3 linked regions of the Schizosaccharomyces pombe genome follow. The protein of the gene in region 1 purifies or fractionates together with the protein of each later gene. This does not show direct contact. Each region holds a gene or a part of one and is shown in the gene's direction. Other genes may lie near its edges. The genes, in order: pir2, iss10 and cbc1.

Evidence for each region.
Region 2: the proteins of pir2 (region 1) and iss10 purify together in Schizosaccharomyces pombe (affinity purification with mass spectrometry; 2 studies listed by BioGRID). This does not show direct contact.
Region 3: the proteins of pir2 (region 1) and cbc1 purify together in Schizosaccharomyces pombe (affinity purification with mass spectrometry; 2 studies listed by BioGRID, with this or other methods). This does not show direct contact.

Annotation. Positions count from the first base shown.
Region 1 is NC_003423.3:1,217,605-1,221,361, forward strand, and holds the start of pir2 (C2H2-type zinc finger domain-containing protein), read left to right. Parts: upstream 1-1,800; 5' UTR 1,801-1,904; coding exon 1,905-1,968; intron 1,969-2,020; coding exon 2,021-2,128; intron 2,129-2,182; coding exon 2,183-2,213; intron 2,214-2,284; coding exon 2,285-3,757. Other genes in the region: peroxisomal targeting signal receptor Pex5, read left to right, coding at 1-1,211.
Region 2 is NC_003424.3:2,609,520-2,613,276, forward strand, and holds iss10 (protein Iss10), read left to right. Parts: upstream 1-1,506; 5' UTR 1,507-1,580; coding exon 1,581-3,236; 3' UTR 3,237-3,483; downstream 3,484-3,757. Other genes in the region: phosphatidylinositol-3,5-bisphosphate binding protein Atg1802, read right to left, coding at 3-772, 829-935, 1,010-1,083, 1,142-1,185.
Region 3 is NC_003424.3:3,226,544-3,230,300, forward strand, and holds the start of cbc1 (nuclear cap-binding complex large subunit), read left to right. Parts: upstream 1-1,966; 5' UTR 1,967-1,989; coding exon 1,990-2,240; exon of another isoform or gene 2,241-2,289; coding exon 2,290-3,757. Other genes in the region: tda3 (FAD-dependent amino acid oxidase), read left to right, coding at 386-437, 499-840, 913-1,649. UniProt on the Schizosaccharomyces pombe protein: Component of the CBC complex, which binds cotranscriptionally to the 5'-cap of pre-mRNAs and is involved in maturation, export and degradation of nuclear mRNAs.

The DNA of each region.
Region 1 (3,757 bases):
TATGGGAAGAGCATCAAAAGCAATTGAAAAACGCCGGGCTAGAGCCCGCAAGTTTAGAGGAATACCAGAAACAATGGGAAGATTTTTTAAAGTCAAACAATATTTCTGACGATCCTTACACTTCGTCTGTGAATAGCTTTGCTAATGATAATTTAGCTCATAATAAAAACATAGATCCTCAAATTTTCCAGCATAGCGATACTGATAACGTTGTTGAAAACTCTTTACAAACGGAAGATGTATATTCACAGAACCAAGATGAATCTTCAGAGGTTGTGAAAGAGCTAAACGGAATAGATCCATTTGTTGAAGCCATGAATTTAATAAAAAATGGAGGATCTATCTCGAAAGCAGCTGTGTTATTGGAACAATCTGTGAAAGAGAATCCACAGCACTTCGAGGCCTGGAAATGGTTAGGTCGCATTCATACTCTATTGGGAAACGAATCGCGGGTTGTTGAAGCCCTACTTGAAGCTGTCAAATTGGATTCAACCAATCTTGACTTAATGATGGATCTTGCTGTGTCTTATGTTAATCAGTCTCTAAATGTTCAGGCATTGGTTTGCTTAGAAGACTGGATAGTCAACAGTTTTCCCCAATACCGAAACAGGTTTGCAAAGATAAACGAAAGGTTTGAAGAGAAAGATTCTGCTAACGATCTCTTGAAAATGCAGATGTATTTCTTGGATGTAGCTTATGAGTTATCACTTGCTAAGAAGCGTTCCTCCAAGGTACAAGCTGGATTAGGAATAATTATGTATATGTTGAAGGAGTATGAGCGTTCTGCAGATTGTTTTCGGCAAGCTCTTCAAGACGAACCAAGTAACGAAATATTGTGGAATAAGCTTGGTGCTGCTTTAACAAATGCAGAAAAAAATACTGAAGCTGTTTCTTCCTATAATCGGGCAGTATCTCTACAGCCCCAGTATGTTCGAGTTCGCTCAAACATGGCTGTTTCCAACATCAATTTAGGATACTTTGAAGATGCTGCAAAACATCTACTTGCTGCAATTGATATTATACAAAACAGTTCTACCTCAATGGAGAGCTGCGAATCAAATGAGGAACTTTGGGAAATGCTTCGCAAAGTATTTTTGATTGGATTCCAAAGTACTGATCTTGCCTCTCAGTCCTATCCTGGAGCAAACACTAGTTATATACGAGCCCAGTTAAGTGATCTCCAAGGTTGGCCCGGTGTTGAGCTCGAATAAATCTCTTAAAGCAAACGTGCTTAATTCATTTTTCATGTTATTATTTATTTGGTTGTTTTTTTTTTTAAATTTTTTGTCTGAGGCATATCTTTTAGAGGACGTGCAAAAGCTACTTTTTTTTTGTTGCACAAGAAATGAGATAACTTACGCTTCAATATCTGAAGCAGAGAACAAAAGTAAAAGAAATCTTACTCTATGCTACCAAAGTTACTATTGGTATGCAAGTTGTACCTTTCTTGACCGTTTATACAATGGAAATTAGATCTTCAGTGATTTGAAAACAGATGTTATTGTTTACTTTTGTGAGAGTGCTTCTAAGCTCTTTGTAAGCACAGTTTTTTAAGTAATCCAACATTGTATTTATTGACGATAATGAGACAATGTTTAGTATTAATTGTTCAATAGCATTCGCATAAAATTCGAAGTCTCACTTTTTTGTTTAATCATTTGCTTTTATAATCTCAGTTTATTTAGATATACTGATGCGTATAATAAAGTATTTGACAATTTTCTATATTTTGAATAATGAAACTTAGTGTACCAGCATAAAGTGCTGTATGGATATTTCTCTCTCGTAAGAACATTCTTCAACTAAGCAGGTTGAGTACCAATTTTGACCCAATTGAAATCATTAGTTTTTTAATAAATTAATCCCGATTGCTGGTATTTATAGAAGGGGAACAGTGTCAAAATATGAGTGAGGTCCATCAAGAAAGTGAAGTAGAGTACAGTCGTTGGAAAAGAGAACGCTCTCCTGGTAAGTTGTTAATGTTTAGTTTGATAGAAATACTCATCCTTTTTTTGCATAGAACGGAGTCAAAGACGTTCACAGAGCCCCCCTGGTGAACAGTCTGCGTATCATCGAGAACGGTCTCCTCTACGAAAGCGTGGTAATTACTATGATGATAGAACAAGAGGTAAGAATAAATATAAAATTCTATGAATTGACCTATTAACTACAATACGTCTAGCTTCTGGACCTTACCCTACATTTACTAAACCGTAAGTTACGACTAAATAAATACTCTACTCGATGTGAGTGAAAAACCAAAGTTTTCTAACAAGGAGACTAGTTTAATTGATCCATATACTCAAACAAATGCGGTTTCTTATGAACGGTTTATTCGGTGGTATAGCAAGGAAAACCATATATCCGCAACAACTGAAGACTTATACAACTCGCTTCATGGAACTTACAACAATTATAAACAGGATCTATACGCTAGGACCGCAAGAAGTTTTGTTGAGAGCCATTGTGACGAAGCTTGGTTTGAAGACAGCTATTGGGTGGACGAGTCACAAGGAAGAGTCCTTGAAGTGTCTGAAAATGAGAAATCTTATCGCCGGGCGTTATACGATAAATTCATGGACAGATTAGACGCCGGTTATTATGATGATTTTCAGCTTCCAACCGCTGAGGATGTAATCGAAAAGCCGTCAATACCTGATAATGATACAGATGACTCAATTCTTCCTTCTAACGACCCGCAACTTTCCAAATGGAACCAAGACTCTCGAAACGATGCAATGGAAAATACACTATTGGTCAGTCATGTTTTGCCCAACATCTCGGTTGCGCAAATTCATAATGCACTCGATGGTATTTCGTTCGTACAACATTTTTCCCTTTCTACTATTAATTTAATCAAGAATGATGAACGCTCACTTTGGGTTCATTTCAAAGCAGGAACAAATATGGATGGAGCTAAAGAAGCGGTGGATGGGATTCAATTGGATTCAAATTTTACTATTGAATCTGAAAATCCAAAAATTCCTACTCACACGCATCCCATACCTATTTTTGAAATCGCTTCTTCTGAGCAGACATGTAAAAATTTGCTAGAAAAACTAATCCGTTTTATAGATCGGGCTAGTACGAAGTATAGTTTACCAAATGATGCTGCACAACGTATCGAAGATCGATTGAAAACACATGCATCTATGAAAGATGACGATGATAAGCCGACGAATTTTCATGACATTCGTTTAAGTGATCTGTACGCCGAGTATCTTCGCCAAGTGGCTACTTTTGATTTCTGGACTAGTAAAGAGTACGAAAGTTTAATTGCTTTACTGCAGGATAGTCCTGCAGGTTACTCGCGGAAAAAGTTTAATCCATCCAAAGAAGTCGGTCAAGAAGAAAATATTTGGTTGTCAGATTTGGAAAACAATTTTGCTTGCCTTCTTGAGCCTGAAAATGTGGATATTAAAGCAAAAGGGGCATTACCCGTTGAAGATTTTATTAATAACGAATTGGACTCTGTTATTATGAAAGAAGATGAACAAAAATATAGGTGTCATGTCGGAACATGCGCGAAGCTTTTCTTAGGACCTGAGTTTGTCAGAAAGCATATAAATAAAAAGCATAAGGATTGGTTGGATCACATTAAAAAGGTGGCTATATGTCTCTATGGATATGTGCTTGACCCATGTAGGGCTATGGATCCCAAAGTGGTAAGCACGTCGTATGTATCCTTACAGATTTTAAACAAGCCCTACGTTGGTTTCAGAAATATTAACGCAAACTATACATTTCCAACAACAAG
Region 2 (3,757 bases), on another chromosome or scaffold:
ACATGTAACGCTCAAGTAAAGCACAATTTCCTCCATTTTTAAGATTTACTGCGAACCGATAATAGTGTCCTGAATAAGAAGCTACTTGTATGTGCGGACCGCTGCTCGAAAAAATTATTTTTCCATAGAAAGAAGCTTCAGGAATCTTAGCAGTTGCAAATTCTTTCCTAGTGTCCCAAACTTTTGCTACATTTGAAGTTAAATATTTTGACCAAGAAGATGACACAGTTACGGAAGATGTAGGAGACGAATTCGGATCCGATGGTTGCTTAGAGATTTTGAAAACGTGAATAGTACCATTTTCAGAAGCACAAGCCAGAAAAGGCTCAACTGGGTGAAATGAGATAGATACAATGGATGCAGGTATATATCCCCTGCGCAATTCTGTCACCAATTCACCATCACTAGTTGTTATAACACGGATTACAGTTCCCTTTGCGGATGCAGTCGCAATCAAATGTCCACGCGGATGAAAGTCAACTACTTGGACAGCGGAAGAATGGCAATGAATCAATGTGACGGGTATTGCAGTATCCAATGAGGCTAAATAAATATCACCAGGGTTGGTCGGTGAATTATATGCAACATAATTCTCATGAACAGCAAAAGCTATAACATTTCCTTTCGAGGTATTTAGAGTATTAATTAATTCCATGTTTTTTAGATTATATACGTAAATACTCCCTTTAATTAAAACAACTAAACGATTCCATGTGAAACGTACACTTAGCACAGGACTCGGATAAAATATTCGGCATAAAACGATATCTCTCTAAAAATATGGGTTAAAATTAAGAAATCAATGCAGAATCTCAGTTAACTAATTACCTTGATGTCAACCAATTTTAGTAACCTCGTCGACTCAGGGGAAATATTCACGAAAGCAAGTAGAGAAGATTCATAAAGCATTTCACAAATACTTGCCCCATTGGCTTCTACAATCAGTAAGTTATAAGTCGTGTAAGATGGGCTTGTGTTTCCACTTCTCGGAAATTCATTGACAGCTTACTTTTTGAAAAGCACAGGGTAAACGGATTGGAGCGATAAACTTGATAGCCATTCTCAGAACCAATTGATAAAAAGCTAAATTTAGCAGTCAGTACAAAGATTGCACAAAATCTATTTTATGTGTGCCACTTACCCACGATCTTGATTCCACGAACAGTAAAGGATAATCGATGGCATTTCTCTTAAATCGACTGTTAATTTATTTAGTAGTTCACATTCACCCCTGTCTTAATACAATTGCTGATCACGTTCAATGGTAAAAGTAAAACAGATTTGTGCTAAGGCAGTGTGCGTAATTGAAGCAAAAAATAATGTGATTCGTACAATGCAAAAGCTTAACTTTGTAGTATCCAGAATATAAAAGAACCCATTTGAGCCTTTAGCAATTTTGATTAATGAATGTTTTTGTTATGTTTGTATTATGCAAGATAATATATACAGTGGTGCAGCGCTCCTTAATGGTCACCTCTACGCACATTCAAGAGCGTATATCTTGGCAACATCCAAATGTTGAATAAAACTTTTTTTGGGAATTCATGAATTTTTATTGTTTTGGTTAAATTTAAATATTAATGGATGCCGTTGAACCTTCTGTGGAGAAGGAATACAAAAAAATAATTTCTTTTAGAGATACTGTGTTTGAAGGGAAACATCAACAATTTTTGGTTCCGAACAATGTTCGTTTAAAATTTTTAAGAGATAGATTACATAAATCTTTAAAAAATTTTGATTCTGTTAAACGGAAAGTCGAAATTGCAAATGATGAAGGTAATAACAAACTCCTGAAATCATCACCCAAAGCACAAACCAGAGATGAAAATACTCCTTCTGAATTTAAGAATGGAGGTTTTAGTAACAGAGAATCTATGTCCGAAAACTGTTTTTCTAAATCATCTACTAATTTACCACGGCTAGACATTAACCGTGATTTTAATTCCTTACTTAATAGTCAAACAAAACCTGAAGCCACTGGTTTGATGAAAGAGGATATTACTCCCGTTGTAAACACTAGCAAACAATCTTCTACTGGGACTCAAGAGGAGTCCTCAAAACCGGAAAAATCTAATAAATTGTTAGCAAAGAGTACTTTATCTTTGTATGGGAATCAAGCTTTTAATCCTTCTTCAGTTCTTCCTAGCAATTCTTCATCAACGCCTAAGGAAAATAAAAAAAATGTGAATAAAGAGACATATCAACCGAACACTTTTCGCCGTAGTCCGTTGAAAAATGATACTGGATCAGTGGAGTTATCAAACCTGTATATGCCGTCTCCACCATCATCTGCGCTTCCCGTATCGCTTGTGTCAGCTCCTTCTCCTCCGAGGGCAACTAACGTTGCAGTCCCGTGTCTTAAACATTTGGAATCGAGTGAGCAGGGCAATAACCTACTTATTAACAAAGCTTTTACTTCTCCTCGCCTTCCTTCACCTCCCCAGTCAACAAGACCTAGCTCTACTAGGTTTCCTTCGGTTCCTTTATCAGATGAAAAAAACTCAATTGTCTCCGTAAAAAACGAAGAGCCGTCTGTCATTCTGGGAAATCAATCACCAATTTCGGATTTGCATCCGTATTCTCCATCTTGGATCCCCTATCCAAAGGAATTGCAATCGCTACAAGTCAATCGAATACCTGAGTTGTCCTTGGAGAACAATGTCATGTCAACTCGGGATTATAAGGATATAATGCCTCACCCTCGTCCTTCTGCTGTCCTTTTAGATAAACCGGTTTCTTTAGATCAAACTTCTCATCCTTTCCCTCATCAAAATACTTATATTCTACCTCCGGGGATAAGGAATTCTGTAGACTATGACGGCACTTTTCTTTCCCGTAAATCGCTTCCTCCTTATAATGGCATTCATCGTCTTCATGAGAGCCCTTCTCAGTTTTCAAATCAATCAAGATATAATTGGGAGCCAATTTTAGAAAATCGCTCCCTGCTCCATTTGAATCGTCCGCCTCCTATTGAAACGCACTATTCATACGAATCTAACAATTCATCGTTTTCTCCGTATTACCATAAACGGCATAGACAGATTTCTCCATACTACCCCACTTCCTCAGTTTATGGAGTTTATGAAAGTCCGCCTCACATGTCTGATTCTCGTATTTCTCGGCAGCATATGCCTTTAACGCATACTACTTATGAGCCTTCTGCGCCTTATTATAACGACTATGAATTAGCAGAGGAAATTGAGAGGCGTCGTCATCATAGCTTTTATGATTATTAGCTATACTCTTCCGTAAGTGCGCGCAACAATTTAAAAATTGCTTGGCGGAATATTTGAATTTGCATGTTTTTGTTTTAACTTATAAAGAAAATTAAGTACCTTTAGTACTGGTAATGTTTGATGTACATTTATTATAGTAGATAGAATATTCATGTTGCATAAATTGGTTTCGCACTTTCAGTTAACATTTTCAAATTCATTTATACATAAATACTTTTTTAGATGATTAATAAGAGGCGTTTCATAAATAGTATAAGTACTTTGTAAGCCTATTCTAATGGATGTGAATAAACAAAGAGACTATGGATTATGTGAATAGTTATATTACTTTCTTATTCGATAATCAAATTTTAAAGCTCCCAAATGCAAGATTATTGAAGAAATTTTGAAAAAGTTTCTTTAGTTAACATTAGCATGTAAAAGACACATAAACCCTAATTGACTGTAACATAAGAGACCTTTTACTTACGTCTACAGCGATTATTCTACTGGACTTAATAAAAGCAAAATTCGGACGGTCG
Region 3 (3,757 bases), on another chromosome or scaffold:
TTTTAATTAAGGCATGTGTAAATAATATGTAAACTATCTGAAGAATGTGAATCTGGCATTTCAAAAATTTAAAAATCCGTTTGTTTATGCGAACTTGACTTTATAGATTAGGAGGAGTATTTTGTAATTTTTTTCCTTTTTTACAATCGTTTGGTATTCATGAAAGAATCGTATATCTCGCCATAGCAATTTATGAAAGGCATTCTGAATGGCAAAAACTGTTGAATATTGAACCGTTTTGTTATTATTATTATTGCTATTTATTTTATTCTCAAAATGGTAAAAAAATAAGAGAGATTGAAGGAAATACTGGTGAGGATAACGTAATGTTTAGAAGCGTTACAGCAAGATGATTGTGTTTCAAGTCAACTTTCCAACTTCAAATATGAGCGCTACAAGTAGAGAAGGAAATAAGACAAAGATAGGAATAGTAGGAGGTAATTTTGGAGAACAACAGTTTCATAAATGATGAGTGAGCATGCTGACGATGATTTTTAGGTGGCATTATTGGAATTTGTACGGCGTTTTACTTAACAGAAGAACAAGAATACAAAAAAGGAGAATTGGACATATTTATATTTGAATCAAAAGAAATAGCAGGAGGTAGCTCCGGCATTGATTCTGCAATCTTGACAAAACTGTGCCAGAATGAAATCATACAGCCACTTTCAACTCTCGCTTTGAAGCTTTATGAAGGATTGGATAAAAAATTTGATGGGAAGAAAAACTGGGAATATAGGACTGCCAATTCTTGGTTTTGTAAGATGAAATGGGACAATACCAATGTTGCCAAAGTTCCCGATACTTTGCAATGGCTTCAACGAGAGCGCATGCAAAAATGTAAGCTCATAAGTGCTACCAAAAAAAAATAATAACTTTATTGTATAAGTCATATAGAGACTAACCATTTAGGTTCTAGTATCGGTTCCGGCAACGATTTTGCAATGATCAATCCAAAATTGTTTTGTCAATTTATGGCAAAAGAAATAGAAAAACGAGGAGTAAAGTTTATATTTGGAAGTGTGAAAGAGGTTAGTAAACACCATATTACATACGTTCCAAAACAAGAAGCTGAAGATACAATAATAAAAGCACAGGTGCATAAAACGCTGGTGAGTGCTGGGCCTTGGACTGGTTATCTATTACCATTTACTGGTATTGCAGGTCTATGCATTCCCATAATTCACCTATCGGTAGGAAATTTTCCCGTTGGCGACAGCATTGTTGTGTGTTGTTTAAATACCATGGGTAATCTAAACATTTGCAAAACAACCGAAATTTTCAGTAAAAACCGGGAGCAGCTTATTTTTATGGGAACTCCAAAATTCCATTTGCTGCCAAAAGATAGTAATCGATGTTTTTTTAATCCTTTTGAAATTATCGAATTGAAAGAAATGACCGATTTGGTGCTCTCGGAGAATACGAAGAGTAACTACTTAGACGCATCTTTTAAGTTCCTTCCTACCAGTAGAATAACAGGTATCCCGATAATATCAACAACCAAGTCTGGTGTATTTGTTGCAGCGGGTCACGCCAACTGGGGGATAACTCAAGCTCCTGCCACGGGTTTATGTATGGCAGAAATGCTCCTTGGCAAGGAAAAAACAAGCATAAACACAGATCCTTTTCACTTAAATCTCGGTGAATGAGGATTTCAAATTATATCCTCTAATTTTTGTTTTAATTGTTTGTCAAAAAAAACGAAGGACTCATTCACTGAAAGGTGAAAATATAGAAGCAGAATGGATGCTTATTCCTTTACCGAAATAGAATATTACAGTGTTGTAAAATTTTCTAATCATATTTATTAAGGTTTTCGTTTTTATCGCATTGGAAAATCGATTTTCTTTTTTTTTGTTTTACAATTTCCATCTCGACTTAGTATACCATTCGTTACCTCTAAGTTGATTGTTACTTGAGAACACTTGCTCGTGTTTTTACAATTCTGCTATACGCCAACAACAGTAAGACACTAACATTCCTCACAAAATGTCTTCTTATCGGGGATCAACTCGACCCAGAAAGAGGACGAGAGAGGGAGAGAATTATGGATTTCGTCCCCATAGAGGAAACTCTCAAGAGCTACTTGCAGCGCGTATAAAAAAGGATATTACCTTTTTGGCGGATCCTCGAGGAAATTCAGTAGCTGCTGATGACATTAATTATGTTGCTATGTCTCTTAGTCGTGAAGCTAATGATCCTGAAACCATTTCAACTATCTTAGATTGCATTCAGACAACGTAAGTGATAATTTATACTGTCCCTTCAGAAAACTAATTTAATCCTTAGTGCATTTATCATTCCAGTCAAAATACCTCATTTGGCTACATTAATTATAAGAGCCTCATTAAGGGTTCCTTTAATCTTAGAAAAAGCAGCTGCGTATTTTTGTTTACAGTATTTTACGAATTTAAACTCCTTTCTTTATTACGAGGCTAAAGTCGATCTACGAATGCTCATTTGCATGTCATTTGCACTTCAACCAGGTACCCTTAAGCCACTATTTTCATTACTGGCTGACGCTATCTCAAAAGAAACCAAACCCAGTGTCTGGGGAGATAATTTCCTGCGCATAATTTTGATAAACCTTCCATATTTCATCGCAGCTAACAACGATCTCGGTAAAAAGGATTTTGCTAATGAGATACTGGATCAATGTGAGATTTACGTTCGTCATAGGAAATCTTCGATAACTCTAAGTAATCCCCTTTCAATACATGACAATCTTTCAGAGGAGGAATTGGACTTACTCTATAAACAACTAATTCTATCTCGGGAAAACGACTTTACTTTTCCTTATATATCTCAACCCTGGAAGTTTTTTGAATCTGATTTCGTTCATATTGTTCCGGTTAGCCCAAGTATTCCTGAATGGACGTTTCAGCCCACTCCTCAGCAAAATGAGCTACCTTCCTTCAAGAGATTTTTTGAGCTTTTTAATAACTTTGAAATTCGCACGACTCCTGACGCTTCCGACGTTGCAGCCAGCATATTTCGTGATATAAGTGTGGATGTTATAAACCATTTGGAATTTAACCGAGTTGAGGCTGCTCAAGTTCTTACAGATTTAGATGTTTATTTTACCTACAAAACTTTTGCTCTTCGTGGTACTCCAGTAAATGAATTACCAAATTTAGATCCATCGGAATCACGTTGGAAAGCAGAAGATATCATAGTTGAAGCTGTTTTGGGTGAGCTTCTTGGTTCACAGAATACTACGTATAAACCTGTCTATTATCATTCGCTTTTGATTGAATGCTGCCGTATCGCTCCTAAAATTTTGGCTCCAACTTTTGGAAGGGTCATTCGGCTAATGTATACCATGTCTTCTGATTTACCTTTACAAACACTTGATCGATTTATTGACTGGTTTTCACATCACCTTAGTAATTTCAACTTTCACTGGAAGTGGAATGAGTGGATTCCTGACGTTGAGCTGGACGATCTTCATCCAAAAAAAGTTTTTATGCGGGAAACTATTACTAGGGAACTTATTTTAAGCTATTACACAAGAATTTCTGACTCACTCCCTGAAGAGTTACGTTGTTTGCTTGGCGAACAACCGTCGGGTCCCAATTTCGTGTACGAAAATGAGACTCATCCGCTATATCAACAGTCAAGTCAAATTATCGAAGCATTGAGATTACATAAACCGTTAGAAGAACTTGACATTATTTTGCAGAGCGAGGAGATTCAAAACTCCGAGACATCTGCTGTCCGATTAGTTATGTCTTGTGCTTATAGCTTGGGTTCGAGA